Linked DNA regions of Drosophila melanogaster. The protein of the gene in region 1 interacts with the protein of each later gene in a pairwise test. Each region holds a gene or a part of one and is shown on either strand. Other genes may lie near its edges.

The links.
Region 2: the proteins of Cp36 (region 1) and Adi1 interact in a two-hybrid assay, tested with the Drosophila melanogaster proteins (one large-scale study listed by BioGRID).
Region 3: the proteins of Cp36 (region 1) and PolD2 interact in a two-hybrid assay, tested with the Drosophila melanogaster proteins (one large-scale study listed by BioGRID).

The regions. Positions count from the first base shown.
Region 1 is NC_004354.4:8,471,588-8,482,742, forward strand, and holds Cp36 (chorion protein 36), read left to right. Parts: upstream 1-7,731; 5' UTR 7,732-7,769; coding exon 7,770-7,817; intron 7,818-7,906; coding exon 7,907-8,713; 3' UTR 8,714-8,936; downstream 8,937-11,155. Other genes in the region: Cp7Fa (chorion protein a at 7F), read left to right, coding at 1-134, 677-768, 838-1,381; Cp7Fb (chorion protein b at 7F), read left to right, coding at 2,287-2,614, 2,757-3,931; Cp7Fc (chorion protein c at 7F), read left to right, coding at 5,540-5,608, 5,681-6,577; Cp38 (chorion protein 38), read left to right, coding at 10,327-10,371, 10,598-11,155.
Region 2 is NT_037436.4:10,657,758-10,668,407, forward strand, and holds Adi1 (acireductone dioxygenase 1), read left to right. Parts: upstream 1-5,618; 5' UTR 5,619-5,688; coding exon 5,689-5,811; intron 5,812-5,892; coding exon 5,893-5,970; intron 5,971-6,032; coding exon 6,033-6,160; intron 6,161-6,317; coding exon 6,318-6,411; intron 6,412-6,470; coding exon 6,471-6,608; 3' UTR 6,609-6,678; downstream 6,679-10,650. Other genes in the region: CG32066 (uncharacterized protein), read right to left, coding at 1,608-1,790; CG8003 (uncharacterized protein), read left to right, coding at 3,818-4,024, 4,093-4,866, 4,927-5,169. UniProt on the Drosophila melanogaster protein: Catalyzes 2 different reactions between oxygen and the acireductone 1,2-dihydroxy-3-keto-5-methylthiopentene (DHK-MTPene) depending upon the metal bound in the active site.
Region 3 is NT_037436.4:1,771,861-1,783,015, forward strand, and holds PolD2 (DNA polymerase delta subunit 2), read left to right. Parts: upstream 1-3,772; 5' UTR 3,773-3,820; coding exon 3,821-5,116; 3' UTR 5,117-5,159; downstream 5,160-11,155. Other genes in the region: CG13933 (uncharacterized protein), read right to left, coding at 742-1,509, 1,563-1,666, 1,718-2,050, 2,121-2,931; CG2021 (uncharacterized protein), read right to left, coding at 5,183-5,470; mRpL46 (mitochondrial ribosomal protein L46), read left to right, coding at 5,656-6,432; alpha-Spec (alpha spectrin), read right to left, coding at 7,322-7,450, 7,525-8,125, 9,027-9,056, 9,235-9,838, 9,899-11,155. UniProt on the Drosophila melanogaster protein: Accessory component of both the DNA polymerase delta complex and possibly the DNA polymerase zeta complex. As a component of the delta complex, participates in high fidelity genome replication, including lagging strand synthesis, DNA recombination and repair.

The DNA.
Region 1 (11,155 bases):
AATACATGAACGCCTTCAACAACCTCTTGGGCCGTCGGATGCTCGAGGGCGCCATCGAAGCCAAGACGCTGGCGGCACAGCGTCTGGCCGAACGGCTGCAGCGTCTGGAGCGGATCGACTGCTTCAAGAGGGGCGCCTCCGGCCATCGCTATCAGCTATAATCATCCATGACTAATCCACATGCACATCCATAACCATAACCAGTGACCAGTGACCCTATCCACCAGACTAAACATATGCAATACACGAAAGAGTTGGAAAATATCATGTACAATTTTCAATTGTACAATATATTTCAGATGTAGTTACTATATTTTATATGCTACTCCACGTTTATAGCTAAACAATATGTGTTACCTATCATAAGCATTAGCATTAGTTTCGACACCTATAATCAGCAACCAGTGGCAGTGGCATTCATCCAACGTCATCCCCCCCCAGCTGCAGTTACGATTTCCGCATCGTGCATCATTATCACCGTACCAATTTTGCGTCACCATGATCAGAACATAGCATCGTCATCCAAATATATGCATAACGCCCTCATATATCGCCGCGTACGTGCTCCTAAAAATCAAGAGCTATGCGAAGCTCCATGCGATAGAACCCATTTAGATACACCATCCACCGATTATCCGAACCGAAACTGAACTCTCGATTTGATCAATTCACACAGACCACGCCATGCAAGCCCACCTGTTCGTGCCAGCAGATCAGCTCCGACAGCAGCTACGCCTCCTCTTCCAGCTCAGGATCCGTGTACGGAAAGTGAGTATAGAAGGAAAATCCTAACCGCGTGCGATATTATAGAATCTAATCACAACCGATCTTCTCCAGAATCGACTATGCCGCAGAGAAGATAGTGGACAACAGTCCAGCTGCGGATCCCATCAGCGTGAGTCTGGCCGCCCAGGCTGGAAAGGCCATCAATGTGCCGGAGGCCAAGTTGGCCTACGGATTTGCCCAGAAGCCCGTCGATGGTGAGAAAAAGGTGGTGTTCTCCAACGTGCCCGAGGAGAATCTCTTCAAGCTGAAGAGCGACGTGATCACGCTGAAGAAGCGCACCTATGCGACCAAGCAGGAGGATGAGGAGGAGTACGCCGAGGAGGAGCAGGAGCAGGAACAGTCCTCCGATGATGAGGAGGCACCGCAACTCACCTACAAACAGCTGGGCTACATCACCGAGCAATACAAGAACCCCAAGTTCAGGAAGATCAGCAGTTCCAGCTCCAGTTATGCGTACAAGGACTACAAGGATTCCAGCGAGAGCGGCTACGGTAAAGTGGCCGGCAAGGTGTCCGTGGACTGTGGCTTCAAGCCCGGCCGGATCACCTCGTACCGGAAGTCAAAACGAGAGGAGTCCGACGACGGTTACTACTGAATCAAACCCATCCCCCCATCCAATCCAATTCCAATCCTTACGTTTGTAAATATGTATATACGCCAAGGAGAGAATGGATGTTTGTCTAAGTTAGTCTTAAAAAATATACATACGTTTTTAAAAAAAATGCACAGCAATTGGCTTTCTTCTAAAAATACTTTATTACTTTTAACTTGGTTAACTATTTCATGGCACTGTTTAATAGTTTTAAATGTGGCTTAGAAAATTATATGAGGCCAATGAAAATAGAATGCAAGAATTTTACTTTGCATTTAAATCTATAAATAAACCATTAAGTGTACTTTAAATGTATTAAATGTATCATTAAGTGTTTTAAATATTCCCACGACATATTATTTGACTTATTTGTTTATGAATTGCATTATTACAGTTGAGCATATCTAATAGAGATTTTACACTGTTTAATAGTTTGTAATACAGTGTGTTTATTTTTGAATGAATGCCATGTAATGCGATATGTTGCACAAGAAAATAATTGATTATATATAAACAAACATTTGTATAAGCTGGCATAATTCAAAATGTTTTTCACAATACGTTTAAAACTAAAATGTTTACTTTCCGTTCGCATTGGCTAGGTTCCACTGTGGACAATTCTGCGTTTGGCGTTTGGATCTCAAGCCATCGAGACACTCGACACTGAAGAAAGCGGCGAACGTCGGGAACATGACTTTTGACGGAAAACATGACCCGCGAACTATTTGAAAAGGTCAGCGAAAACAAAAACAAACAGAGTGGCCAAGCCGGCGTCTCTGGGGAAGAAGACCTTGCCCAAAGTCAAGACCATTGGGGTCCGCGTGCTGGCCGAGATGATATAAAGAATGTGACAATACATTCTGCGGCTAGTAGCCAGCAAGGCAGACAACCGAGAAGATCTAACCGAGATGCGATACTCCATGGCAATGATCCCGATTCTGGGCCTGCTGCTCGTAGCACTGATCCACGCCGCTCCCGTTGAGGTCGTCTACACGGGCGAAAGTTGCGCCTGTCCCACCCAACTGGGTTACCAGCTAAATGTGCCCAATACCCCAAAGCCAAAGAAGTATGTCGGTGGCGAGTACGGCTATCGGGTGGAGAAGCCCGTCCAGACGAAAGCCAAGATTACCTACAGCTTTGACTTCACTGTGGAGCAGCCGAGGACACCGGCGCCGCCCAAGAACAATCCCGCCAAGCTGTATGCCAAGGTGGACCGGATCACAGTCAACAAAGCGGGTAAGTGCAAACAAAACAACCAATGATTTCATGAAAAACTTCTCTTAAGCGGACAGTTCTCTCTCTTGGGCGGACATTTCTCTATATACATGTTTCTCCATGTTTTCCTCTAACAACTTTATCTATGATTTATATTATACAGATTGCCAGGCCAAGAACAAGTCAACATGCGGCTGCTCGAGTTGCTCCGGCCAAAAACCCAGGTACGTAGCTTCACCGGTCAGGTCGCCGAATGCCATTCGTCGTCGCCGGGATGTTCGCCAGCCAGGTTCACTGCTCCGCCGTCGGCTAATGCGCCAACAAAAGATCCAGGAGCGTCCGCCACGCTTTGTGAAGCTCTATCACAAGGATTTGACTCCTGCGCAGGAGAAGCATCAGCTTAAACTTTTTGGCCTCTTTCCCGTGGAATCACCAGAGTCAGTGGCTGCCGCACCCAAAACCAAGAGAAAGACGAAGAAAACCCAGCCGAGCTGGATGGGATTGGGAAGGCGTTTGAAAAAGCGAGATATTAAGGGAGAGTTTGATCTGCTCGAACAAGAACGATCCCAGATAGATCTGACTGCGCCGGAAATAATCCAGTTTATGCCCGAGACTCTGAATCCGGACTTTAGGCCCGGTCAGTGTCACGTGGGCTGTGGAGCGATGACAGCATCGGCACCACCACCAGAAGAGCCAATGCCCAAGGAGGAGCAAGTGCCTCAAACGACGCAGCCTGTGCAAACGGAACCGCCAGAGCAGCTCAACTCGATTCCCGCCAAGAGGGCCGCCTATGGTTACTATCCCCTGCAGATTCCCTCGCCATTGGGCCGTCGGGAGGACTACAAGTTCGTGGATGATTCGCAGCTTAGGAGCCTGTTGTCCACCACTTCTGTGCCGGATCCGCAGGAGTATAGCTCCACGCCGTTACAGTTTGCCGGTGATTTGGAATCGGTTACAAGAAGATCCTATGGTGTACCACTAACGAGTCTCGGCGGTGGCTATCCCGTGGAGCATGTCTCCGACTCCCAACTGGACAGCATTATCTCCGGGATAGTGTACAATCATCCTGCCTACGATCATTACTCCACCGAGGGCAGTCTGGTCGATCCGGAGCCAATTCAAAAGCAACAGACGACGGATTTTCTCAAGAAACTCATCGATGGCCGGCTGGGCGGCTGGGGTTTCGATCAGGGATCGGAAACCGAGCACAGTTTACACAATGATTACTCCACACAACCCGCGAAGACCTATGGCTATAATAGCCAAACCCAAAATGGCTACAGTATAGACACCTATAATGCGCCACCCATTACGGATTACCTGAGGGCCTGGTTCTAGTGCCCAATCTAACCAACATAAAATACATAGTGTTTAGAACTTAGTTTAAACGAAAAAAAAAAAAAAACAGAGAAAATCATAGACGAAAAGTAAACAAAAAGAAAAACAAAAGACAAAAAAAAAACAGAATATAATAAATTGAAAATACATTGTGGTGTTTCTTTCTTTATTCACCCAACGTCTTCGTCTTTCTTCTCTTTGCAGCTACGGCGAAGACGCGGGCTACGGCTACTGAAGAGAGATCTTACATATAAACCAACAATATCAAAACCGAAACCCAAACCAAAACTCCAAACCGAATGCAACCCAACCCAACCCAACCCATCGATCTGCTGAGCTCGGCTTAAAATCCAGCCGAAAGTAGGCCAGTGGAGCACTCCGCTTTCGGGTCTCCATTCGCTTGTATATATGTACATATATATATATATATATGTATCTACGTGTACTATAGAAGTTATGAATCCAACCTCCGATTTCTGTTTACGTTTTCCGCTTTTGTCGGCACTTCAAGAAGTTGCCCCAATTAACTGGTTAATAAAGTGTTTGCCTGATTAAAATGTGCTCGATTCGATGATTTGGGGTTCCATTGGGTGCACCTTTGGCATAGAAAGAGCTAGCTATATGATACCCCTAAAAGTATGCCCACCGAAATGAACAGCTCTTAATCCTAAGCATTTCAAATATTATAATAGCCTAATGGCATATTACTTTGATAAATAATTAAGGGTTTTAGCATTTATTTACCTAACACAATTCTTCTGTTTTTTAGTCTTAGTCGTTAGTCTTAGTAAGCTCACTTATCATTAAAGAGCCAGTATATATAATATATATGATTTATTTGCATACGATCACGATCTGTTAATGGCCAAATATTTATTGTTCTACATAAACAAATGGTGGTGGTGGTTCATCATTCAGCGACAAAATTCTTGCGATTGCATACTATTGAAAAGCCAAAAGATACTCGCAACCGAAAGCCACAAAAAACTCACTGAACTTCGTGACCATAAGAGCAAAACATTTCTAGAAGAATACTCAAGATTCATAGGTACTAAGTAATAATAAATAATGTATAGTATGCAAAATGCAATAACTGGTTATTAATCTATCGTTTCAGACTAGAATTTTATAAAATATGTCAGGCAGACTTACTCACTTATCCTTTGATTAAAGAAGTAGGGTGTTTAGTAACATAGTTTATTGTGCGATTTTTGTAGAATCGAATGCGATGTAATCCCAAGACCTTGTAATTCTCGGCATGTCAACAATGTTTTACAGCATCCAATTAATGGCACATACACCCATTAAAAAACCAACTAAAGTATCGTTAAATTATTGCAAGCGAACCCATTGACTAGTGCCAAAGAATTCGAATGACCCTGGCTTGGTGTTTCTCACAGTTTTTTTTTTTTTTTTTTTTTGTTTTTTTTCTTCTCTCTGACGCATCAAGATCGCTGGAGATTCGTGGATGAGACATTTAGTGAATAGTGAATATGGCATATCTGGTTATAGATCACGTCCCGGCACGCCATTTTATTTTTTAACCGAATCGAGCTACTTTTGTGGGTATTTAAATGGATTCCATGGGAGCCGGGGCCCTCAGTCGAAATGGCAGCCGACGGCAGTTGGCCTATACTACTCTTGTTGGTCTCAACACAGGCCATTATTCACGCTGAGGTGGGTTCATTATATACACTCCGTTTATACAATAAATAAATAATGCTTGTATATTCTTCATTATTCGTTCAGAATCTAAGTGAATCCACGCCCGGCCCCGATGAGGAATACAATGTGAGCACAACTCCGGGTGCGCCGCTGGAAGAGACCACCAATCGCTTGGCTGCTCGCGTTGAGCCATACGATAAGGGTGATCGGGAGCAGTACGATGTGATCGATGTGGCCACAGCTACCGGTACGGTGATGGGCAAGCCCAGAAGTGGACAGACCACGAGAATCTACACCACCGGCGAAGTGGACGAAAGCTTTTGGCTAAAGCATCTGGGCGATGACTTCAAACATGCCATCCATCTGCAGGTGGGCGGCACCAACGAAGAGTACAATCGCCTGATTAACCGGACCCAGAACGGTGTCCACGAGGAGGTGCATCACGAGTATTTACCGGGGGCCGAACGACCTGGCAGCGCAGTCCAGCCTCCATCTCCTCTACCTGCGCCACACCAATCGCGTCCAGCTTATCGTCAGGGTTTCGACAATCGAGCCATGGCCATGAAACAGCAGTATCTCATCCATCAGCAGACCCAGCAATCGCATCCTGCCCAGCAACGCTATAACTATGCCCAACAGCATGCACAACACTATGCACCACAACCACAACTGCAACCGCAACCACAACCACAACCACAATACCCACAGCACACACCGCACAGAAACACGTATGCAATGCCTCAGAATTATGGGCAGCAGAACTACAAGCCGCAGAGTTATATTATCAACTCTAGCGAAGATCAGCTGCACGCCGAGCAATCGAATCCCTCGCCAATGAAATCAGCTGGAGAGGATCGACAACATCACGAGGAGGAGTTTGACTCCTTTGGCGGTCAGCTCAACTTCAAATCACCCTTCAATGACTACGGCAGTCGACCAGCACGAGATCTCACCTACCTTCTTTATAAGCGGGGTCTCTAGAAGCTAAATCCATGTCCACGTCAAACCAAAGACTTGCGGTCTCCAGACCATTGAGTTCTATAAATGGGACTGAGCCACACCATACACCACACACCACACATACACACACGCCAACACATTACACACAACACGAACTACACAAACACTGAGATTAAGGAAATTATTAAAAAAAATAATAAAATTAATACAAAAAAAATATATATATATACAAAAATTTGTTGTGTTTGAATTGAATTAAGAGCTTATCAAGAAAAAAATTTCAGTGACTCATAATACACTACTCTACAAGTTTAAATTGAATCAACAATTTAACTTTCATTGCTCAGGTTTTTAGTAACAATGTTTATATAAGTTTAGGTATAACAAATGATTTAAATATAAGATACTGTATTTCACATTGAGACGAAACAATCCACCGAAAATCATAAAATATAAGAATGTTGCATTTTATTTTTAAAAATAAAGATGCCTTTTAAGAGGAATAACTTAAATGTCTTTAATACCTTTGAATTTAATTATATGGCTAATAAACACAAACTTAAAGCTTAAAACTGCATCGAATTGAATGCGGTTATAAATGTACTTATATATCTAATATAATCTGCTAATATGGTTTACATGGTATATCTTTCTCGGAAATTTTTACAAAAATTATCTATTCATATATCTCGAGCGTAAGATATTTATCAGTTTATAGATAACATCTTTAAATTTGGGTGATTAAAAAAAAACATTGCTGCAGGGCATGTTTATGTACACATTTCAGTATAAGTCCCAAGTTAAAATGCAATGTAAAAACATATAAAGGATATTAACTTCAAACCCAAAGGATTGCAGAGAGATTGCAGCACAGCTGTAATCATCGCAACAAGGCAACCAAAACGAGACTCTCGTAGCGTTGGCATCATATTCGATCTTTGGAAGAGCTATGATTCAAGCCAAGGGAAACAACTGCCAAAAAATAGAAGATTGCGACGAGCGGAAAGCAGAGTGGTGCACCACGGTGCATAGGTGCATAGGAGGTTGGTTGTCTAGAGATCTGGGCACGATGGCGAGACAAAGATGCGGCGCAAAATCGGAAATGGAGATGGATCACGTAGCCGGCCATGGCGGGCAGCGATTATAGGCGCTATAAAGAGCCGGAGTCATCGCCAGACAGCGAGCAGTAGACGATCCACACGTAAACGGCAACATGCAACTCGGTCTCTGGTTTGGCATTTTGGCCATCGCCGCCACGCCGGTTAGTAGCTTTTATCCATGGCATTCGCATTGGGCATCCCGCTAATCTCGCAAACTCTCTCTCTCTCTCTCTTACCTCCTCCTCATTAGCTGGTGAGCGCTAACTATGGTCCCGCTGGCGGACACGGACACGGACATGGACATGGACAGTACCTGTCCGGTCCCAATGCCGGACTCGAGGAGTACGTGAATGTGGCGTCTGGTGGCAACCAGCAGGCTGCCAATCAGATCGCCTCACAGGCCGAGATCCAGCCCACGCCGGAGGAGGCCCGTCGTTTGGGTCGCGTCCAGGCCCAACTTCAGGCCCTCAATGCCGATCCCAACTACCAGAAGCTGAAGAACTCCGAGGATATTGCCGAATCTCTGGCCGAGACCAATCTGGCCAGCAATATCCGTCAGGGCAAGATCAAGGTGGTGTCGCCACAGTTCGTTGACCAGCATCTGTTCCGCTCCCTGTTGGTGCCATCGGGCCACAACAATCACCAGGTGATCGCCACCCAGCCCCTGCCACCAATCATTGTCCACCAGCCTGGTGCACCACCAGCCCATGTGAACAGCGGCCCACCGACTGTGGTGCGCGGCAATCCGGTGATCTACAAGATCAAGCCCTCGGTCATCTACCAACAGGAGGTGATCAACAAGGTGCCCACTCCGCTGAGCCTCAACCCCGTCTACGTGAAGGTCTACAAGCCCGGCAAGAAGATCGAGGCTCCACTGGCCCCGGTGGTTGCACCCGTCTACAGCCAGCCCAGGGAGTACAGCCAGCCCCAGGGTTATGGTAGTGCCGGAGCTGCTTCCTCCGCCGCCGGTGCCGCCTCCTCTGCCGATGGCAATGCCTACGGCAACGAGGCTCCACTGTACAACAGCCCCGCGCCCTATGGCCAGCCCAACTACTAAGGTGCTCATCCTGGGCATGGGTTGCTCCTCAGCTGCGACAGCTGGTTTAATTTAAATTTTTGTTTTTTTTTTTCTTTGCCGAACTACTGAGCGCAAATAAATGAAAAAAAAATACTTGAAACGTAAACGTTTTGTCATCAATTATTTTCGACCGGAAGGGGCTACCTGAGTGGCAATGAAGCACACAGATTAAGCACATATTTATGAATATATAAATATATACGAATGCATGAGAGAACAAAAAATTATATCTAGTTTTCTTCAAAAATAAATAATAAAGGGGAAAATGGTATAAAGTATGAACATAAAATTATGAACGAGTATAAATAAGTTTGTAATTGAAATCTCTACGGTCATACAAGTATTTTAACTATTCTATAAATATGCATAAACATGGTACGCATTTTATGAGATACAATTCGAAAGATATTGGATAGCATTATCATGCATGAAATTATTTCACACTCTTGTGATGGTAGCTATCTTATTCCAGTTATCGTTTAATTGCAAAGAATGGGATCAAAAGGTCATCTTTATCAACATATTGTTGATTCCGGAATGAATAATAAATAATAACATAACTATGAATTAATGGAGCAACTATAATTTTACGGCCTCTTTTCTTTTAAACAAAGAATATAGCACTTTTAATGCATTAAATACGTATTTAAACCTTTTCTTTTGAAACGCCAAATTCATATTAGAGTTTCATAAGATTGTTTTAAAACATAACAACATAATAATTGAAGAATTGGAAATCTTTTTAGGTGTTTGTAAGCCTTTGAATTCCTAATTGGAATAGCTAAAGATCCATATTTCATCTTCAAATCTCTTTGCAACTAGAGATTTATTTTATCTGGCAATTATTAAGTATACATTTTTATATGGTACTTTAAACTGATGGTTTAATCAGTTACATGGATTTTCTAAATTAAAAATGGTCATGTGAAGATAGCCACTCTTCTAACAATCTAATCACATTTATAGTAAGAAATACAATACAATACAATACAATACAATACAATACAATACAATACAATAGAAAGACAATCGAATCTGCGCAATCCGTGTGAAATTCAAGGACTACAGCTGGGTGGCTAATCATTTCCCCCTATCCACTTACACCTCGGATTACCTCTTATTCCGACTCCCGGAGTCTTGTGTCTGCCAATGCGGAACTATTTTCGCTATCTGAACAGACGTTCGGACCTCGATATGCGGCAAAGATTCACAGCCCGGCTGTTGATTCCGATTCGGTGGCAATGTGTTCGTTGTTATTGTAAAACGGGCAATGGCAACTGGGCAGTGGGCAGTGGGGTTTTCGGGTTGTGGCTTCTACGTAAGTGGAAGAGACGCCGTGATATGCGCTGGCAGCGATGCGTGCGATCTATCAACATTTGGCCATGTTTCGTTCGCATCGCGTGGGCCCGGAGCGGAACAGCCGGCACCGGAGTTGGCATCAATCCAAATGTCACGTACCCGGAGCCGGAGACGCGTCCGGAGCATATTTAAAGTAGTCGGCCACCAATGGAGGGCAGCAGAAGACAGCAGACAGTCCAAGCGGGAGCACACCAGAAGCCGAAGAGCAACTGGAACTGCAACTGGGAGACAAGATGACGAGATCGACCTACATTTGGGCGCTGGCCGCCTGCCTGATCGTAAGTGTTCAAGCTCGAAATCTTAGGATTAATCCCAAGAAAACCAAGTCTATCAATTCTGACTGCTTTCGTTTGTGCCATGTAAATCGTACATGAAAAGCAAATTGACTTTCCTTTAAATTACTTGAAACGGAATCAAGCTATCTATCGATGCTAGACTTATTTTAAGTATATGTATATGTCGATCCAATTCTAATCCACCCCCCCCCCCTCAATTTACTTTTAGGCCTGTGCAAGCGCCAACTACGGCAGTTCCCAGGGCTATGGACCCGAGTCCGGAAGCGGTGCCTCCGATGGCGGTGCTGATGCCGCTTCAGCGGCCGCAGCAGCTGCCGGCGGTGCCGGTGGAGCTGGTGGCGAGTACGGTGGTGCTAACGCCGGTGCTGGTGCTCTCGAATCCGGAGCCGATGCCGCCGGTGTGGCACAGGCTGGCCAGAGCAGCTACGGATCCGACCAGAACATTCCGTACAAGCCGGTGAACACCAAGGGTAACACCCTGACCTCATCGATCACCTACCCGCAGAACAAGGGCGAGATCCTCATCCATCGTCCCGCTCCCATCATTGTCAAGCGTCCGCCCACCAAGGTGCTGGTGAACCATCCACCATTGGTGGTTAAGCCCGCTCCCGTGGTGCTCCACAAGCCCCCAGCAATCGTTCTCCGCAAGGTCTACGTCAAGCACCACCCACGTCGCGTCAAGGTTGAGCCCGTGTTCGTCAATGTGGTCAAGCCCCCAGCAGAGAAGTACTTTGTCAACGAGAACAAGCAGGGCTACGGACAGGGC
Region 2 (10,650 bases), on another chromosome or scaffold:
GTCTTTGTTGCTTTCGGTCCCATTTAAGTGGGTCAACACAAAGGAAATGAGCTCATTGGTATACATTTTCCAGTTCATTTGCGTTGATTAAAGCTTTTCGGCCTGACATTTGTTTGTCTGCCGCCCCTCATTTCCACCTACCCCCACCCTTTACCCCCCCCCCCTTTAACTACCCTTTTTTCCGCTTTGACCGTCTTCTTTTTATTTTTGCGTCTGAAACCCAATTAATAATTTGCACACACCAATGTGAGTTAGAATTTGTCGCCAAAAGGTCAAATGCACACAGAAAAAAAATATATGCTCCAATAATTTTGTATTCAATTTAAATCGTTATAAATTGCATATATTGTAGTAGTTATTTTTAGGGTTCTCAGTTAAGGACTTTTAGCTTTACACATCGCAAATATCTTTATCAGATTCACATAAGTTTATCATATCTTATCATTATCAAATCAAAGATGTCCAAACTATTTAATGACAGCATTATTAGGTCAGCTTTTTTTGACAGAAAAGAAAACTATGCTAATCAGTTTTTAAAAGGCGTAAGTTATTGTTGATAAAAGAGTAGTTACAAAACCCATCATAGACATTTTTTTTTTCTGTGTGAGTAACGAAGAATGGGGTGACTAATTCTTCCCGCCGCGAGACGGAGAAGGAGAATTATGGGAGTGCGAAGAGCGGCGGCAAAAGTTGGTTAATGACGTCAGTGGAGCGACGATAATGAAAGAAGTCCGCTCACCGGATCGGATCATGTGGGCACGTGCGTGAGTCAGGCAATCAAAGAGATCCATGTTTGGGGGGGCATTTCACATTGGAGGAGCCACATTGGATACATCGTAAAATGCTCTTCTTCTTAGGGCCAGTTTAACTAATTAGTCTACTCAAATCTATTACTCTGAGGGATATTTAATAAATGGATTCTAAGTATAGGCGCCTAAAGCCTAGTGATCTATAGTTAACAAAATATTTACGCTTACTTACAGTCTTGACATGCTAATTTTAATGCGGCCATAAAATGCTAGGTTTTATTACCAAAATAGCGTGTACATAATGACAATCATTTGTTTATTATTTTAATAATAGTATTACATTTATTTTTAGTAGTTTCAGAGGGCGTTGGAGTAACAGCATTTAAAGAGAGCAAAAGATAGCGCTCTGCTCAGTGCCGCTCTTTTCTCACCCTGGCAAAAGGTTAAATACTCAATTTGTTGCTCGTTTATGGTTGCTCTTATTTGTTGCTTTCAATTTCCCGGCGATTGTTGTTATTTTTAGCAAGTTGTTGAAATTATCAGTCTTATACAGTACCTCCCTTTTCGGGGAAGCCCAGGCATAATCAAACTACCTAAAATAGTTTTTAAACTAGCTTGATAATGCATAAATGCCTTGAAAATATATCATTTAAAATTTTATAATGCTTATAATCCTTTTAAAAGTACTTTTTACATTTATGTTATATATAAAGTACTGATATTTTCTTTAAAAAATCGTTTTGATCACCATTTAGTGACTCGAACTATAGGAATCATCGGACAAATGCCCAATAACCGGTTGGCAGGGGTTGCGGTTTAGCCCGTGGCTAATGACGCATATGACCAGTTGAGACTCACCCGATAGATCTGTATCTCGTCGAGCACCACCTCCGATTCCCGGAGTACCCGCTCCACCTCGTCGTAGACGGCACGCTCCGTTTCCGTGGGCGCGGCGTTCTCGAAATCCAGGAAGACATCGTAGGATTTGGCGGCGCAACAATTGGAGTCGTCGCGTGACAGCAGGCTCAGCAGCTTTCCCATTTTCTTTGATTAACTAATACTTGTAGTTTTGGGGGATTTCGTAGTATTGGTGTTTGCTTCTATTTCGTTGCGTTATTAATTAGCACTTTTTTGGAATTTGTTGTTTTATTTATTTGGAGCACTGAAAGGGAGTGGGAACACAAAGAATACAGAAGATATAGCAGCTGTTGCACCTGTTGTCACGAAAAAAGGGCCTAATAAATGGGCTGGTTACCCAAAAGGCAGCTGCAAAAGTTGCTAGGGATAGTGGATAGTGGATTGTGGAGGTTGATGGTGGGGGAAGCTGCATTCAATTCAGGAACTTGTTTCATCTTTCGGAGGACAATGGAAAAGGGCAGTTTCAAGGGTGGGAAAAGGCGGTGACAACAAAACCCCGCGTTTTCTATGTTTTCAGCCCCCTTCGAAGATGGGAAAAAATAACACAGATGGTTGGGGTTCAAGGAAGTTCTTGAATGTTGATTTTGAACTAACAATGGTTTTGATTTTTACGAATGAAAATACATAATAATATATCTTCATCTAAGATTAAATTTAAATTATTTTTTCAAGAAAAATATTTTCCTGATATTTTCATTTGATTTAAATATATTTAACTAACTTTAATATACTCAAATTATACTTTTAAAAAATCCCCTTAAAAAACATTTTTATATATTGAAATCAAAGGAATGTCGACGATTTTCCGCTTTGTTTCATCTCTAACCAATGTTTACTGTATTTTTTCGACCTCACAAATTGCACTGCGGGGGGTGAAGAGGAGAACGAGGGAGAGAGGATTATGAAAAGACCATACTCTCTCTCTCTCTCTCTCTATCTCTTTTCTTGGCAATGTGCGTTTCGCAGGAAATACTGCGAAATCGAAACAGATCGAAATCGGTAAACAAAAAAGGAAAAGGAAAATCGGCAAGGCCAATTTTCACACATTGCGCTAAGTGGGAAAAGGCCATTTTCCTGCTCGAGCAGCAGCACATGTAAACACATATTGCGAAAAAAGAGGAGCAACAAAACGGGCTTGTTTTTGTTAAAGAATTGTGGCCATGTGTGCGTGTGTGTGTACGGCTTTTGTTTATCTGGCTTTTCCTTATCTCGCTCTCTCGCCGTCCCTTTTCCACTTGCTTCGCTATTTTGCGCGCTTATCTTCACTTTTATATTATTTATACATTTCCCCATGCAAAAGGGTTTCGTCTGCATTGGAATTTCTTCCTTTCATCATTTTTCTGCACCACGCTTATCACCTTTTTTCCACACTGCGGTACTTTTTAAATTATTTTTTTTTAATTAATTGCCTAGTAGCGCAAGGGCGCCTTCAACATTATGGGCAGCTCGCGGGGCTCAAATGCTTGTATCAGTTTTTTCAAAAACACAAAACACACGATTTCAGTTCAAGCCAATCCAATCAAATTCAATTCGATGCGATGCGAATGCGATACACACGCCGCCGACAAAAAACACAACAACAAAACAGCAGAGTGACCGTAGCGGGGCTAGTCGAATAAAGCCCAACCAAAACGGGCCTCCACATATAAAATACTAATGCTAACAACACCTTAGTGATGGGAATTGAGAAACACACAATTTCATGATAAATAAAAAATTATTCAATAACGTAACAACTTATTTAACCTATATATATTTATGTATAAGCAAATTTATGGCTCATAAAGAAACAAATTTTGCAAAGAGAGATTAACTGAAACCTACCAACATATCTTAAGAAAATTTTATTATATAATATAATATAATATAACAATACAAAAATATATAAGATTATAATACTTATACTTAGTAATTTTTCCATATATGCCAATTTCCATATTTTCTGATTTTATAAAACTCAAGATATATATGATATTGTTTTAGTTTCTTATTGTACCATATCGTAACGATATATCGCACGCCAACCGCCGGACAGTGTTGTGAAACTGTGACAGTATCGCTGTAAGCACGCCGAAAACAGTGGAGTTTCTTGATTTCCATATTCCGAAGAGCACTTGAAAAATCCAACAAAAACAAACAATCGAATCACAATGACCGAGGAAAGCAAGAAGATCGTACAGCTGGACGACGTGCAGCGCCAGTTGCTGGATCATCTGGCCAAGAATGACACCAGTGGATTCAAGCAGCTGCTGAGCGGAGTGAGGAATGTTAATTTCGTGGACGACACCGGGATGTCGTGTTTGGCCCACGCCAGCTTCAAGGGAAACCGCGAGGCGGTGCAGCTGCTCCTGGACATGGTGGGTACATCTGCCAGGCAACCACCGCTTGGGCTCTAAACATGAAATAACCGCCTTTTCTTCCACAGGGTGCCGACATAAACCTCAATCAGCATGGAGCTGATTATACGCCACTGCATTTCGCCGCTCTATCGGGCAATACACATGTGTGCCGGCTTCTTTTGGATGCTGGCATCAAGCCGGGTAGCATCAATAGTGTCAACAGGACCGCCGCCCAAATGGCCGCCTTTGTGGGCAACCACGCCTGCGTGGAGACCATCAACAACTATGTGACCCAGTCGAGTTTGGAGTACTACACCCAAGTGCATGGCCAGCAGACGGAGCCGCATATACCACCCAGCTTACTCAAATCGTTCCACGCCTTTGTCACCGAAATCAACCTGCATCCCGTGAGGATTGCCCTGAATGTGCAGTCCTTGGGATTGCTTAGGATCCTGTCCAGTCTGCGCAAGACGCTGGCTTTGATGTGCGAAAAGGAGATGCAGAAGTCGCATGACCTCAACGAGCTGCTGGCCTTCAAGTTCCATTATCAGGGCTGGATTTTGGCCGAACTAATACGCTGCGAGGAGCAATTCAAGGCGCAGCACAAGGAGAAAAGTGGCGAGGAGGCGGGCGATGCGAACAAGAACGATTTCATCGAGATGTTTGTGAAGCGGGTGCTCAAGGAGAACAAGCTGGGCCAGCTGGACTATGTGGAATACACGTTGCGCGAATGTGCCAGGGAGTTTCCCGTGAGAGAGTGCACCATCTTCCGGCAAATCGCAACGCAATTTGGCGCCAAGGATGCCCCACCAGCACTGACTGTCCTGCGAAATGCCATCAATGGGATGAGGTGGATTACGGTGGGTATCATGATCTCATAATCAAATGATTCTTTTCTAATCTGGAAAACTAATTTTCAGGACGAGGGCAACTACTGCAGCACCTGCGGCGCCGAGAAACCGGACAAGAAGTGCTCCAAGTGCAAGGCGGTGCAGTATTGCGATCGCGAATGCCAGCGGCTGCATTGGTTCATGCACAAGAAGAACTGTGCCCGCCTCCTGGCCCAATCCCAAGCCCAAGCCCAAGCCCAGCCGCAATCGCAAGCGAAGGGAGCCATTGACACGGCCGAGCTGCGCGAGGAACTGTCCAAACTGACTGCGTAATCCTGTGCTCCTTTGTAACGCCAATAAATGTAACATAAAACCAGAAACCTAGCATTTTCGCGTACTAAAAGATTGTTAGTACCAAACTGTCAGATGTCTACACAAATTAAACTAGATAATAGTAACGAAAGGCAAAATTGCACGCTACAAATTCAATTAAAGTCAAAACATACAACAAACTGCCCAAAAATCGTATATCTATCGTAAAATAATAAAGAGTAATAATGGAACAAAAAAAAAATAGAAAAATAACTCCTTTTGAAGGTTATTAAAATTATGGTTATTTTACGTTTTAAATCGAACATTTCAAAAATGAAGTTTTTAAAATAGCAGTATTTCGAACACAAAACTAACAGCATTCATTTTCGAATGTTAAGTTAACAGCACTAGCGGCATTCGCCTGAGTGTCTGTTATCGATTTCGAAAATTCGAAAACGAACAGCTGATGCCAGTTGAATTTTTCTTGTTTAATCTATTTGTTGCTCGTTGCTCGTGAAAACCCGTTTAAAACAGTCCAAAATGGTGCAGGTTTGGTATATGGATACGGAGGAAACCGATCAGCGCCTGGAGCACCACCGCAATCCGCCTGCCTACTTGGAACTGGATGATCTGTACCAGAAGACCGGCGTGGAATACTTTAAGGCAAGTGAAAAGCGAAATTGCGACTTTAAAAACCTTAAGTGACCTTGGGGGCGAGCTTATCTTGATCATTCACATTTGCAGATCAATGCGGACGAGTACCAGAGCGATAATACCCTCACGGAACTGAGGGCAAAACGTGGCTACACCTACGATGATGAGGCAAGATCGATGTTTTCTTGAAAAACATCTACCGAACTTTGGTAAACTTCGAATTATTACAGATCACATGCTCGGAAAAGTGCCTTCCAGACTATGCCAACAAGTTGAAAGCCTTTTTCACCGAACACCTGCACACGGATGAGGAAATTCGCCTGATATTGGAGGGATCCGGTTACTTTGATGTTCGCGAGTAAGTTTTGTTTATTTACACCGCATTTTATAGTATCCCAGCCACATTTTCCCAATTAAATAGTTCAAGCATTCATATTCTTACTGATATTGTTTTTGCTCACACTAATAACATTTTTGGAATTGTTTTAAAACGGAAAACTATTTATTCTTTATAGCAATGAGGACAACTGGTTGCGCATTAAGGTTGTCAAGGGAGATCTGATCATTATACCAGCTGGCATATATCACCGCTTTACTTTGGATACCAATGTAAGTTATTTTGACAATCTTATATACAAACTTAAACTATTTGTATTGTTTTTTCTTAGAACTTTATCAGAACTCGTCGCTATTTTGTGGGCGAACCTGTCTGGGCTCCACACAATCGTCCTGCTGATGAAATGGACTGTCGCAAATCGTACATCAAGCATCAGTCGGAAAACTTTGTGCAATTCAATAAGGTTTAAAAACCTTAAATCTTATCTTTTACCATCAAGTTTGATATTTTGAAATATAAAATCGCTGTGTATAATCAATAGTTTCAATAGTTTTTTGTTTAACTTACAATTTTCGCTGATTAACGTAGTTTTGATATAGAATTCGAAGTCTATTTTCTATATCAATAAACCCCGCCAAAAACTTGATTTCGAATTTTATCTCTTAGTTGGTTGCTGCATATGCTAAACGTACTTTCGAACTCGAATCTCAGAGAGTACAATTCGCGGTATGACCGTACCAGCGCCGAAGAGAAAAAACAGCGCAAGTATATAATCCCAAGCGCCAGCGAAAGTATCGAGCCAACATCGATGCGCGTGCCATCGCTAGGAAGGAAAACAAAACAAACACTTTTTTACTTTTTCATCTCTCGGATCGTTCGGACGTGCTACGCGGTCTCGTCTGTGTGTGTGAGGTAGTGTGCGTGAGCGGAGCGGCGAAAAAGCACAATTGAAATTAAATCGAGTCGTTATCTGTGGATTCGGCGGATACAATACAATATCGTATCGTTATCTATTTACAAACAAATCGACGTGGATTAATAAAATGCCGCACACGAATGCTTAAAGCGGCCTATCTGTGTGTGTGTACGTGTGTGTCTATGTCTTTGTGTGTTTCACTCTCTCTTTGAAATAGTAAACAAATTGCGTATAAAGTTTACAGCAAAGTAAAAGACAAACAAAAATATTTATATAAAACAAAGTATATTCTGCAGTGCGTGTAAAATATTTCGAAAAGTAGCCGCAAAAAGGCAGCGGCGTCGACGTCAGCAGAGCGCGGGCTGCAAGTGTGTTGGTGAGGCGTATATACATACATACCAACGCATAAGTGCATATATAAGGTGGTACATAAGCAGTGTAATTAATTAAGTGAAATCCAAATAGTTTTGTGCATGCGAAATTGGAAAAATCGAGAGGAGTTCCGCAGCAGCAGCGCAGCGGCAGAGGCGCCACCGACTAACGGATTTTCACACGCGGGTAAGTTTTCTTGTTTTTTTCCCCCGTTTTCTTGCCCCAAAACAGTGCTAAAATTTTCATTACGCCAAAGAGGAAAAATTCAATATGTATATGTATGCTCCATCTCCAATCGCTCTCTCTCGTTCGCCCCGCTCTCTCTCTCACTGCCACTATCCAATTTAACCTCAACCGGTCTGCTGCTGCGGCGTCTCGTATGCATGTCGCCCATCTGTGCGCCTCCTTGTGTGCGTGTGGTTGTGTGTTTGAACAATCGAGGTCAATGCAATAGTGGCAATTAAGAAAAGTCATAAAACCCAAAAGTTGGTTGTTAAAACTGTCTTACAAAACAAACTATAAAATGTACAATAGCTTAATGATTGGCACTAGAATTAAATACTTATATGTATTGTTATCAAAACAATGAAAGTAATATGAATTACTACTAAACGCCAAACACTTCAATAGTTTTTTAAGGTAATATTTAACACACATTTTTAATTTGAATTTATTAATTTTCTCAATGTTTACGCTCTGATCTTACTGCTATGGTTTCGCCCTCGACTGTATGCATCTGCATAAGTGCCGTTGTGTGTGTTGGTGTTTCTGTTTGTGTGCGCTTGTCATTCGGCTCGTTAAAAATGCTCTGCCGACGTCGCAGTTGGCGTTGGCGGCTTCTTCTTTAACTCTCGCGCATTATTTCGCAAAGCTCCAAAGCCTGCTGCTTCTTCTTCTGCCCCCCCCCTCCTGTTATTGTTGTTGCTGCTGCTAGCCAGCCTGCCTTTCTTTCTTCTATATTGACAATTTTTACAGCTTTTATCTGTTGTTGTTGGGACGCCATGCTTAGGAGCTTGTCTCAGCTGCTACTTTTTTTCCTGTGTCGCTCGACTGGGTTGCCGCGGTTTTTCCTTTTTGTATTCGGAAGGGGTTGTCGCCGCTGTTCGTTTTTCTTTCCGTTCCCGTTATCTATACACACATTTCTCGCTTATGAATGAGATTTGTTGGCGGTCTTTTATGTTAACTGTGTTAATGAACTTTTTCCCATTCGTTTTGTATTTGATTCTGTTTTACATATTTATACTTGCTAATTACCCGCACGCACTTTTTGAGCTTTGCAACACTTGTTAATTTCTCGAAAATTACCCCCCGCACACATACACTCATGCAGAAATGCACTTGTTTCGCAAACTCTCTCTCCCATTCGGTTCTCTCATTTTTGGGGTTCCCCCCTCTCTCTTTCTCAACCATCCCGCAGCGCACGCATTTTTCGGCAATGTTGCATGCTCCAAAATACAAATACACAGCCATACAAAAAACCACCTTGCTGGCTGTCTCGCTCCCACACACAAACACACTCGCATACAGACGCACGCACTAAAACCCGGTTCGTCGTTAGTTTTAAACTTATTTTGGCATTCTTTATGTGCACTGCATTCTCGACGTCTCGTCGAGTCTCCCCATCCTCCTCTGCCACCGCTTTGCACTTCTCTTCGCCTTTCCTCCTCTCTCCGCTCCTTTGCTCTCTGCTTTTGGTCTCGATTTTACGACCCAGACCCGCATTTCTAGTAGTTTTTGTTGTTCTTGCTTGTTGCAATAGTTTAGTTGGTGTTGCTGTAATTGCAATTGTTGTTGTTTTGGTTTCTCTGTGGGTGGGGGAGGGGTGGCTATATCTGAACTAGTTCACAGCGGATCAGGTGAAATCCGAAAGTTAAGAGGAGTTAAAAGTTCGCTGAACCTATTTCCAAACTATTAAACCATCGGTAATTCAATTTGTAATAAGATTTATTTCAAGAAAATGAGTTTTTAGCTATGCGAATTCTTATCTTTGCCAAGTATTATCGTAAAATCAATGATTGATAAGAATTTTGAACTTCTATAAATTTCAATGAGGCAAAATCAAATAGAATGCAAATAATAAGTCTTACACATTTGTAGAACAAAATAAAATATACATATCTATAAAATGCGAATGTAATTAATTGATAATTAGTAGCTCCAACCAATTAGCCATGGAAAAAGTGAATCGAAAGAGTTAAAATATATCTGGTAGGTTGGGAACTAGAATGCCCGGTTTCTAGATTTATCGCTGTAGATTTTAGCGTTACCTTTGTTTGTTGCCGTGTCAGCTCCACACAGGTACCACTCACCCGCGCACACACACACACACACGCGTGTCGATTTACCTGAGTTTGCAGGTGAGTTTGCCAGTGTCTGTGTTTGTGTGTGTGAGTTTAGGGGAGCTTGCTCGATAGCCGAAATTCTCTTTTCGTCTTTTCGTGCGTTTTTGTTTGTGCAAGTGGAGCAACAAAAGTCGACGGCTTTGCAGTATCGCTGCGCTCTTCCTCTTCCTCGTTTCTCCTTCCCCTTTTCACTTCATTTCCCTCTCCCCACCCCCCCTGGCACTTGTTATCGATATCTGAAATTTTCATCTAATTTCGCTTAAAGAGGTCAAAAGTTCAGGAAGTACTTCTTATGCTTAAGAGCACACACAAAAAGGGAGCTAATGATAAATATAAAATATTATACCAAAACGGTATAACTTTAACATGGTTTCTTTTCAATGTACATCATTGTAAAGTTATGATAGTTAGGATAGGTTAGTTTGTGGCAAATGCTAGAATAGCATAAAGTTAACTATTTGTTTAAGTCCCACATAAATTTAAGAACTGCCCGTTTTCTAATCGATTTCTTCTGGTTGTTCCATGCTCATGGAAACTTTTGATTCAAGCCAGTCCCATTTCAAAGTTGTTACCACCCAATGCTTATAGATAGGCTTCTGTAAAAGTTGCAATTTTTAGATGACAACTGCAATTGGTTGGCGATTGGGCATGTTTCGGGTGTAATATCTGTTTTTTGGGCTCAATCTGCCGAATGCATTGCAAGTGGAGCTGTGTTTCTGGCTATTCCATTCCTGCATTCCGGGGAAGCAAACATATTGCAGTTGTTTTCTATTTCGTTTGCTGCACAAGTAACACAGCCCACCGCCACACCCCCCTGTCGCCACTCATGCAATGCTCTATGTACAGCTTGCAACAACAAGGCATCGCAAGCCGAAATGCAG
Region 3 (11,155 bases), on another chromosome or scaffold:
ACATTATAGATACAGAGATTAACAACAGTTTAGCAACAATAATAATAGTTACAATAATAATTACATAACGCCTCGCTCCTCCGTTCGAATATACAAAATTCTAAAACACCCGAAATGTTTGTCAAAAAACAGCCTTAAGTTTATGTCCTACTATAACTTACGCAGCATGAGGGACTGGAAACGGGGTGAGGGGCCGTTGGGTGCGGGGGCGGGATGTGCTTGTATAGTGTAAAGCGCATTACAGTTCACAAAGTTGTACGTATAGAATTACAAAACATAGATGAGCGTGTCTCTCCCACAATAGTTTCAATATATTCGTATCAAAGAAATTGCACGTGTTTGATTTGACATTATTTAAATTGGCTTCTTGTGTGTGTTTCATGTTGTGTCTAGGTACTTTAAAAACGTTTTCATATCTCATACGCAACAGCTTCAGATCAAGCGTATCTCCTTTGGCCCTAAATTAAGAGAATTTAGCGATCTAATTAGGTGTTATAACAAAAAGTATACATAACTATTCGCTTTCGATATCAAAGTAAATTCAGTCATTTCAGAACTGATCGTTAAGCTACGATGGGCCGGCCCAGAACAGGCCTGATAGTTCGTAATTATTGCGTACCTACATACCTACTGGGGTAGGCGAATATGCGTATTAAACATTACATAGCCTAGGGGCAACAGTAGTGATTGACTCTAGTTCGCTGCGGTTGGGATTCATTGGTCCTTCGGCCGCTCCACTCGCTACCTCTCGAACTGCAGCACGTAGTCTTTGAGCGGGCCCGGCAGGTTCAGGCAGTTGATGTTTTGGGCCAGCTTGCGGTTCATCGCCTCATAGATGGCCCAGCGGGATAGCTGCTTTAGACTGCGCGGCCGACGGTAGAGGGACGAGATCAGGGCTATTAGCTGCTCCGTCTTCTTACTGGGCACCTGTGCCACGTAAAAGTTGTGTAGGGACTTGAGGCAATTAAAGAGCGGCTCGTGGTGCATAGTCAGGTAGAAGAGGTGAATGACGCGTGTATACGTCGCGTTCGGATCGTTCAAGATGAACTCCTTCTTCGTGATCAGGATGATGTAGTAGAAAAGCAGGTAGCACGAGTTGGTGCGAAACGAACTGCGAAAAGTTGCCAGCTCGTTGGAGAAGATGGCGGTGCCGGGCGTTGTCTTTCCGCTGAGCACTATGTTGGGGTCAGCCCCGTACTGGATTAGCGTCAGAGTCAACTCGTAGACGCACTCCATGTCGTGGCAGGTGCGCACATTATGCACCATGTCCATCACCGCCTGCAGAATGTGCTGATATGTCTTATTGCAGTCCAGGCCGTGCTGAAGTAGCATCAGTAGGATGTTCTTGATGAAGTCGAAGTTGGTGCGCTTTTGAGCATCACAATTAAGCGTAAAGTTTTCGCTAACCGTAAACACGAGCACGTGCAGTGGTTTAAGGTTGGCGCGGTAGGAGCAATTGGGATTCGCTCCGTGCTGCAGCAGCATGCGGATGCAGTTCAGATAGCAGACCTGAAACAAGGGATTAGCTTTTGCGCAAATAAAATGGAATGTACGAGACAGACCTTCATGGAGTGCGTGAAATGATGCAGGTGATCCTTATTAATTAATGGCACTAGCAGAACCATAATGGGCACAGATCCATCTCTCCCCACGATGTTGGGGTCTCCTGAAAAATGAGGCATTGTGTAAACTGACAAAACATAACTGATTTACCAACCATTCTCCTTGATAAGCATGCTTAGCAGTTCGTAGCAGACTTCCCAGTCTCGCAGGTGTCGAAACACACAGGCCATGGCACTGTTCCCCGCTTGGTTAATCGATTGCTTGGCCCCGTTCTGCAGGAGAAATCGCACTAGGTGCAACACATCCCACTTGCTCCACTTGTCGTAGCCGTACCGGGCTTCCTCAAGGGCATAGCGCACTATCAGGGCGTGCAGTGGAGTGTTTCCCAACGAGTCTGGTGCGTTGATTAGCTCTTTGCATCCTCGTTCCAGCAGGATGCGAAGAGTGGCCAACGTGTCTTCAGCAGACTTACGAGCAGCAAAAATAACTGAAAATAATAGCCATGGTTATTACAACATCTGCATCAGAATCTCTCTCTTCAGGGAATACGAACTCACCCACATGCAGTAGGGTCATTTGTTGGGTGCAGGTGCGTACAGTTGTAATTGCACCCTGATGAATGAGTAGCTCAAGAAAGCGACCATCATGAAGCACGGCATGGTGAATCGGGTAATACTCGTCCATAATAAGATTGATTTCCTCCGAACGGGTGACCACTAGTTGCTGGACGCAATTCCAGGCGCCGCGTTCGCAGGCCAAGTGGAGCAGGGGCTTTTTCACGCGGAAGGGGATCCACGGCTCCTCCATTTTTTGGGTGAGCAAGCTTAGAACATTGTACTGATCTCCGTCGATTGCATAGAAGAGCGCGTTCTGTAGCTTTGTGTTTAGCCGCTCGCTGACATCGTCCACGTTGTTGTGCCATTTGCCGCTCTCCTCGCAATTTCTCGTGTGGGCGCCAGGAAAACACATCCGAGTGTCCACGTCGATACGTGCGCCATGCCGAAGCAATAACTCCACGCACTCCTCGTAGCCACGCAGGGTGGCGATGTGCAGGGGCAGGGAGCAGGGCGAGCGGTTAACGTCCGGGCGGTGGCGATGCAGCAGCCACTTAGTGAGATCGATGTGGTTGAGGCCGACGCTGCGCTGCAGGATGTTGTATCCATAGTCGTCATGCATGGCCAGGATATTCTCGTTCTTTGGGATCTGGATGAGCAGGCTCTCGAGGGTCTGCAGGGAAACCTTCGGATTGGCGCGCAGGATGTCAAACAGTGTCTGTATGGTCTCCTCGGTGGCCTTGGACAGCTTTCCGTCGCGATGCGAGAGGAGTGCGGATCCGGATCGGAACACCTGGCTCACGGAGCCGCCCATTGCTCTGGCTTCTCCCTTTACGGCCGTCTAACACTGCACAGTCATGCTAGTATCTCCTGCGACGCAGTTTCCGGGGAAGATCGCTAGACGGCGAAGTGCGTATCACTTCCGAAACCGTAAAAATCAATACGAGCCCTGAAGAACCGCCCAGATCAGCACTGAACGACGGCTGGAAGGAGAAAGGCTGCTCCGATGGCTTCAGTCACAGAATCCCACATCCCTGTGGCGCGTTTTCAGGCTAGATTCAGCGCATCCGGGCATTTCAAATTTACCACAATCAAAAAAAAACTTTGGGATTAAATAAAGTATATTATAGTATAGGGTTTCAGAGGCCCTATCGGCAATCGATATCAGTTGGTTGAACTTGGTATCGTTAGTCGATAGGAGGATATCAATTTTGTATAAAAGCGCGTTTATTTAAACTTAAAGTAAAATGCGTAAATGGGCATACATTTGCACCACCTTATTCAGGAGCAAAAAAGCAATGAACGCGATTTTTTTCCATAAAATAAGTTATAGGCTTTGCACATACTTTTCGATTTGTGCAATCCAGCTGTACCCAATGTTAAGGCTTATCGGCTATCGATTCGAATTGAATGTACAGTGAATACTGGAACTTAGTTACTATAAATGTCAATATTAAATATAAAAAATTATTAATAATAAAATATTAACAAAAAAAAATACTTCTTATTCAAAAGCGAATACTTCTTATGTTACCAAGCCAAAAAAACTTTGGTTTTCCTAAGAAATTTTCCCTAACATTACCAACGTGATTGAAGAAAAACTGTTTGCCTTAGCCTCTCCTCTCTGTAACAAATTGGCGCTCAAAAGTAAACGAGCGTCTTGGAATATAACTTAGTTTGCTCCTAAAAATATCGACGGAATCATGACCAACCGCCTGGAGACCAAATACGAGAACCTGAGCAGCATTTTCCGGCTAAAGGGACATGACTACCAAAAGCAGTTCTTCCATCTGTATGCCCACCGCCTGGCCGAGATGACGCGTCTCCTAACGCCGCTGGCCCAGAAGAAGTGGGGCAACAAGGAGCCCATCAAAAAACTGTGTGAGCTGCGGGGTGAACAGGACGTGCACTGCATCCTGATCGGCACCATTTTTAAGCACCAGGCTCACAAGCCCAGTATCCTCCGGGACATTTCTGAGGAGAATCAGTTAGCGCCACAGCCGCCAAGACAGAACTACTCGGATCCGGAGGACAAGATTGTTCTGGAGGATGAACTGCAGCGGGTTCGACTTCAGGGCAAGCTAAATGGACAGCTCTTAGCCACTGGAGTTGTGTGCGCTGCCCTCGGTGGAACAGACAGTGACGGATTTTTTAACGTGGAGGATATACTCTTCTACGAAAGTGGACCTCAGAAGCCACTGGCCCCCATTAAAAGAAGCCGCCTCCTGGTGCTGGCGTCTGGGTTGGACCAACTGCAGGCCCACAAATTTGTGGAGGCATTGAATCTCTTTCAGTACTGGCTGGCCGGCAGTCTTGGAAACAACAAGGAAGCGGGCTCCATGGTGCGTCTTATCGTGGCTGGAAACTCGGTGAGAGCCAGTGCCATGGCACATGTGCCCACCCTACAGGTGGCACGCACCCAGGCGAACGCAAATGACACAGTCCAGGCCGTTTCCCAGCTAGACCAGTGGTTTGCCTCATGGGCACGCAGTCTGCCCGTCGACATAATGCCGGGACCCTACGACCCGGCCAACTTTATGCTGCCCCAGCAGCCGTTCCACAAGTGCATGTTTCCCCAGGCTGCTCAACTGGCAACTTTCCAGGCGGTGACTAATCCGTACAGCTGCCGGCTGGATGAGGCCCTGGTGGTAGGCACATCTGGCCAGAATGTATCGGATCTGTTGCGCAGCACTTCGCTGGACTCGGCGCTGGAGGCCCTTCGCTGCACCCTCACCTGGGGACATGTTGCTCCCACTGCACCGGACACTCTAGCGTGCTACCCGTACATCGAAAGTGATCCCTTCATCCTGCGCGAGTGTCCGCACGTTTACTACGCCGGCAACTGCGAGTCGTTTGCGACCGAGCTGCACGAGGGTTCCGAAGGCAAGCGCACCCGCCTAGTCTGCGTGCCCAGTTTTAGCAAAACACAGAGTGTGGCCGTCGTTGACCTGGATACGCTGGATTGCCGCATGGTCAACTTTAGCGTAGATGCAGAATAAGAAACTTCATTAATACAAATAATACACCCTGTTAAGTCTTGAGAATCACTGGTTTTATTCGCTATCCTAGTGCACCACGGGACCCAGCGGCTCGCCCCTAATGTTGGCCAAATCCAGGCGGGAGTCGATGGTCTCGTCTATCAGTCCGATCACCGCGATGTTGTCCCCCCGGATGATGTGCAGTCCCAGCACGATTTGCTCGATGCCGGAGGTGGTAGAGAAGACGCGCTCATGGCACTCGTCTATGATGATATTGATGGTCTGGTCGAATCCCTTGAGTGTCCCGATGAAGTTCCGTCCGTCTGCCGTAATGATGGAGACTGTGTGATTGATATACGACTCCAGACCGGACATTTTAGCAGTCTTTCCTTGATAACTTCTCCAAACAGAACAAAATAAATACTAATTGTGGCAAGAGGCTAGCGACGCGCTCTCCGATAACGATAACTGTGCCGCAAATCAGCTGTTCCGGCTCTGGTGCTCATGTAATCGGTGGTCAACATTCTATTTTCCGAAAAAATTAAATTAAACTGATTAAAATGCTGCGTCGCATTGTCCAAGTGGGTGCCCGGGAGTTGAGCCGAGCCCAATCGTCAACCGCCAGCGCGGAAAAGTGGGACCTGTACGCCGGAGTGCTCGTAGAGCGTCTCCCTGTGGTGTCCAAGTCCCTTAATCCGCTGGAAAAACAGTTCCAAGACTTGCTATGGCGCGTGGAGTACGAAAACAGCCTGAAGTCTGACCATGAACTCAAGCATGAACGTGAGATCGTCCAGGCGGAGCTCATAAAGCAGGGCAAGATCCAGGTGGACTTGGAGGACGCAGGATCCAAGCAGACAGCTCAGGACCTCAAGGACGCCTACGTCGAGGAGCTAAAAAAGTTCCAGTTGGGCTCCCGCACCACGCCCGATGACCAGGCCAACAGAACCACCTCCACGGACCGCTGTCTGGATGACACGCTCTACCTTTTGGTACAGCAGAAGCTGGGCCAGCAGGAGCACCTCATTCTACCGCAGGGAAAGCGTGAGGAGGGAGAGTCCATGCGTCAGACTGCAGAAAGAGTGCTCCGCGAGAGTTGCGGCCAGGAGCTGCAGGTTCTTTTCTACGGCAACGCCCCAGTGGGCTTCCACAAATACAAGTATCCCAGAAACCAGCGGACGGAGACTGTCGGAGCCAAGGTCTTCTTCTACAGAGCATCCCTGCGGTCCGGCCAGGTGCCCGAAAATCTGACCAAGTTCGAGTGGCTTCCCAAGGAGGCGCTCAATGAAAAGCTGACCAATACAGCCTATGCCCAAAGCGTTAAAAAGTTCTTGTTGTAATCGTAATTGTTAAAATTGTTTTGATATCTAACAAATAAATAAAAATACTTCAGAGGAATATCTATCTACTAGCTGCCTTTCATTTGAGAAGAATCTGGTGAGATGCTGATACTTTTGCCAACTTCCTTCTGCAAAATCAGATTACAGACTCCCCTGAATTTTTAATAAAAACTCCACTCATTTAACATATTTAGACATGCAGCAATATATTTATTTTTGCAATTCACGAGTTGTAAATATACGTCCAATACAGAGGCAAATATTTATTGTTTTGTTTTTCTTTTTTTTTTCTGCTTTGAAAAAGCTTACTACTTTCGTTTCGAATACACGTAGAAACTGGAGGAAACATAAAAGGCTGGTTATTATGCATTTCTGGTAGCAAGAGTATCTTAAATCTTTTTGGTATATCAGTTGTATCTATGTTCGTTACAAGTTACAGACATTCAATATTGAAAATGTGTGCTCGATTACTGGAAGCTAAGCTTTTTATCTGCTTTTCAGGCGCAAGTTGATCAAATTACTGTGACAATGTTCTCGATTAGATATCTTCTTCGGCGACCGGACGCGTAGCCAATTCTCAAACTGAAACGTCAAAATTTAAGATACTTTCTCATTGGGCTGTTGATAAATAAATGCAAAAACTAGAAATGGTTCATAGTCATGTTGATAAATATGTATTGCAAGGTGCTATTGTTGATTTAAGGTTCATTGTGGCATAGGTTCTTAAATAAGCATTAAACTGTTTGACTTAGAGACTAAATTATCGAAAATAATGGTGTAAATATATATTTTTGTTTGATTTTTTTTTGTGTTTTGTTGGTTTTTAGAAATATACTTTAAATTGTAAGACATATGCTCAGGCGCCACTAAATAAGACAATGCAGGCTCTTTAGTTCTGGAACAGCGTTCGCGTGAAGTCTATGTAGTCCAGGGCATCCTTGATGGGCTGGCCGGAGCGCGGTTCCGAGAAGGGTTTCATGCGCTGCACGCAGTAGTCAGCCATGTCCTTGGTGAGGTTCTGTGGCAAGAAAGCAAAGATGTTAGTAGTGGCATGGGTTGAAACTTTCAGTAATCGAGGAATATTGAACTTACGCAGTAGAGCTCCTCCTTAGTTACATAGGGGCGGTCGGCAGCGGTGATGGCGCGGAAGGCATTCTCGATCTCCTCGTAGGATTGAACGTTCTCCGTCTCCTTGGAGATCATGAACGCGATGTATTCCTGCAGAGAGACGTAGCCATCGCGGTTGGGGTCGACAACATCGAGAATTGCTTCGAACTCCGGGTCGGGCTGTCCCTCCTCCACCATGGGCAGGTCGTAGCCGAGGGCGCGCAGGCAGGACTTGAATTCCTGGTGGTTGAGCTTGCCGCTCTTGTCCTTATCGAAGTGCTTGAACATCATCGAGAACTCCTTGAGTGAGTCCTCGGAGACGCCCGAGTGGTTGCGTGCCTGGATCTGTTGCTCTAAGTTGTGCTGCATGCGCATAGACAGCTGGTCAAGCTGATCCCACTGCTGGGCCAGGCCCACCGTCGAGTGTTCCGTGTAGCGGTTGTCCAGAATAAGGTGCTCCTCCAGCAAGGCTCCCAGCTCCTCGATCTTCTTGAGGTCAACGCGACGTGCGCGCACCTCGGTGGCCTTGACACGAAGCGCCTCCAGTTGCTGTTCCAGGGAACCGGAGCCTTCCATCATGGACGTTCTGCGAAATTCGCGATGTGGGGATTGGTTGAGAGTTGGCGGATAAAAAGCGTCTATTAGTAGGGCACAATATCGAGTTAGGTCTCAAACAAATCGGAACGTTACAATGATATAATGCAATAAGAGAAGCAAATCTTGTTAGAGGGTCTGTTAAGGGCAGCGAATATTTTTCTGGATTTTCTGAATTCGGGCTTGCAACTAGTTTGTCTTCACTTTGTTTTTAGTTTGTACATATTTACACGTGTCGGTGGGAATTTGGCGGGCCCGAGTGTTTTATCTGTTTGGGTCAGGTTTAGTGTAGTTAAGATTGGTTTTTTGTTGAGTTCAGCAACTAATAATGACGAAAGTTGTCTAATTGCTAAAAGCGAGTTAAAATAAGAAAAGCGCCAAAGGAACGTTTAAATTGTAATTTAATAATGCTACTAGATTTGGTTAAACTCTTCGATTGAACGGAATAAATATGAACATAATTTATGTTTTCGATTGCTACATATTTCTGTATGCTACAACAGTATTTTGATCTCGATTCGCATGCTAAAGAGTTCAGTTTCGTTAATTTTGAATAAGATTAGGTGAGACCAAAGGAGTAATGGAGAATCGAAACAGTACGTTGACGATATACACTCAGATCGGGATCGGGTGGGTCAGTGCTCTCGCTAATGCAACTAACTAAAACTAGGTCTTAGTCGTCGCTCAATCTTATCAGTGTGGATATATACGAGTATTTACAAGCCCTCAGCTCAAAGGGCAAAGCAAGAGTTACGGAGAACATGGCCATTCCAAAAGGTTAGTGGAGGCGCAGCGAGATTGGGAGCTCAGCCCCAACGCGAGTTAAGAAACCAAAAAGATCACAACAGAAAATAAGAGTTCAAACGCAGAATCAAGCCTGCTCGCTTAATTACCCTTGACGGTTATAACCCAGCATATAATATCTAGAAAATAGAATGGATCTTTCAGTTACGTAGTATTTCATGGGGTTAGAGTCGCGACCACGAGACTTGTTTTCGGATTTGTGTGGATTGGGATGGGAACATGGATTCGATCCGAAAAAAACCAACACACGTCTGGATGGAGTAGCCCACATTTGGGAAAGCCTTAGCCCCCACTCACCTTGTCTCTGTTAGCCACTGGTGGAAAAGATTGGCGTGCTTGGCAAACTCCTTGCGCAGCTTGTCGTTCTCCTCCTGCCGCTTGGCCTCCTTGGCAAGTTCCCCATCGCGTTCCTCTATGATCTTTTGCAGATTACGCCAGGTCTCCTCAAGAGCTTCCATGGTGAACCACGTGTACGGGTTGGGTCCAACATTAAAGCTCTTGATCTTCTGGTCGAGTGCTGCCAATGCCTTGAAGTCAGCTTCGGCCGACGAAAGGGACGCCTGGAATTGGGCATGGGCGTCGCGCAGGGCGCGGATTTCTTCGATCGAATTGCAGCGAACAGGATCTGTGAGATCCTCCTCGGCATTTTCGAACCAAGAATTGAAGGCCGAAGCTTTCTTGGCAAATGTCAAGTAGAGTTCCTCGATCTGGCGGAACTGCTCCTGCATGGCCAGCAGTCGGTCCTTGCGCGTGTTGGAGGCGTCGCGCAACTTCTGCCACCTGGCAATCACGTCTCCGTGACGCTTTAGGATTGCCGGCGACTGGGCGTGACTGGCATTTATCAGTTGGTCCTTAAGTGCCGTGATGTTGTGTATGCCCTCCTGCTCGAAGGCATTGAGACCTTAACAGATGACAATCGTTAATATAATGTGACTTAAGACAAAATCTCAGCTGATCATACCTGCATCGAATGTCTCTTGCTTGGTCAACAGCGTTTGCACGGTGGACAGGTCGCGTCCGAACTCATCGGAGCGCACATAGTTCTCCTTGTCGTCGATCCAGCTCTCGACCACATCGGCCTTCCACATGAACTGCAGATAGGCCGAGTTGTCCAGCAGGGCACCCTTGCGGCGGGCAGCCAGGGCGGACAGGTTGTCCAGTTTCAGGCGCAGCTGCTGGCAGCGTTGGGCAATGGACTCTCCGTGGTGGTTCTTGGCCTCCACCAACTCACTGCCCTGGTCGCAGATCAAAGAACAGCGGTCCTTGTGGGCAGTGAAGTCCGTTTCGAATGCGTCGTGCTTTTTCAGCAGTCCTTGTACGGCGGCCATCGAGTCGCCGTAGTCCTCCACAGAGAGCAGCTGTTGCTTCTCGGTGATCCAGGCCTCCTCCTCCTCCACCTGAGCGAGGAATTGCTGATAGGTCAGCGACTCATCCAACTTCTGACCTCGCGTGGCAGCCAGGTTCTTTAGCTCGGCCCAGGCCTGGTTCAGAGCCTTCAGGCGCTGCTCAATTTCGGGGACACCGAGGTTGGACACGTCCATGAGCTTCTCGCCAGCCTCCTGCACAGCTTGAATGGCCGGCTCGTGAGAGCCCAATTCGGCTTCTAGGCGCTTGTGCTTCTTCTTGAGGTTCTGGACGCCGGTCAGATCGCGACCATAGTCGTCGGAGCCGACAAGTAGCTTCTTCTCCTTGATCCAGCTCTCCTCGTCGGCGATGTCGCGGAAGAATTGGTGCAGGGTCAGAGCCTCGTTGAGACGGGCTTGGCGATGGGCCGCCAGGTTGCAGATGCGCTCGTAGCGCTCATTGATGCTTTGACGCTTCTCCTGGATGCCGGCAGTATCGAACTGGCCGCTCTCCACCAAGGAATCGGCCTGGTTGTTCATGTCCTTGATGCGGTCTTCGTGCGCCACGATATCCGCCTCGACCAACTGATGCTTCTTCATGAGGTTTTGGACAGAGGCCAAATCCTTACCAGAATCCTCAGTGGTCAAAAGACTCTCGACCTCGCCCAACCAGAAGTCCAAATCCTTGACAGCAGCGATATAGGTGCGCTGCTTATTCGCCTCCTTTAGCTTCAGCGACTTCTCGGTAGTCTTATGGGTCAGGTACTCCCACTGATCGGCGATCTGCGTCAGCCGCTTCTGCACCGCGTCCTCCGACCCGCTGCACTGCTTCTTATCGATGAGGTTTCCGCCCATGGCTAGCACGCTCTGGATGC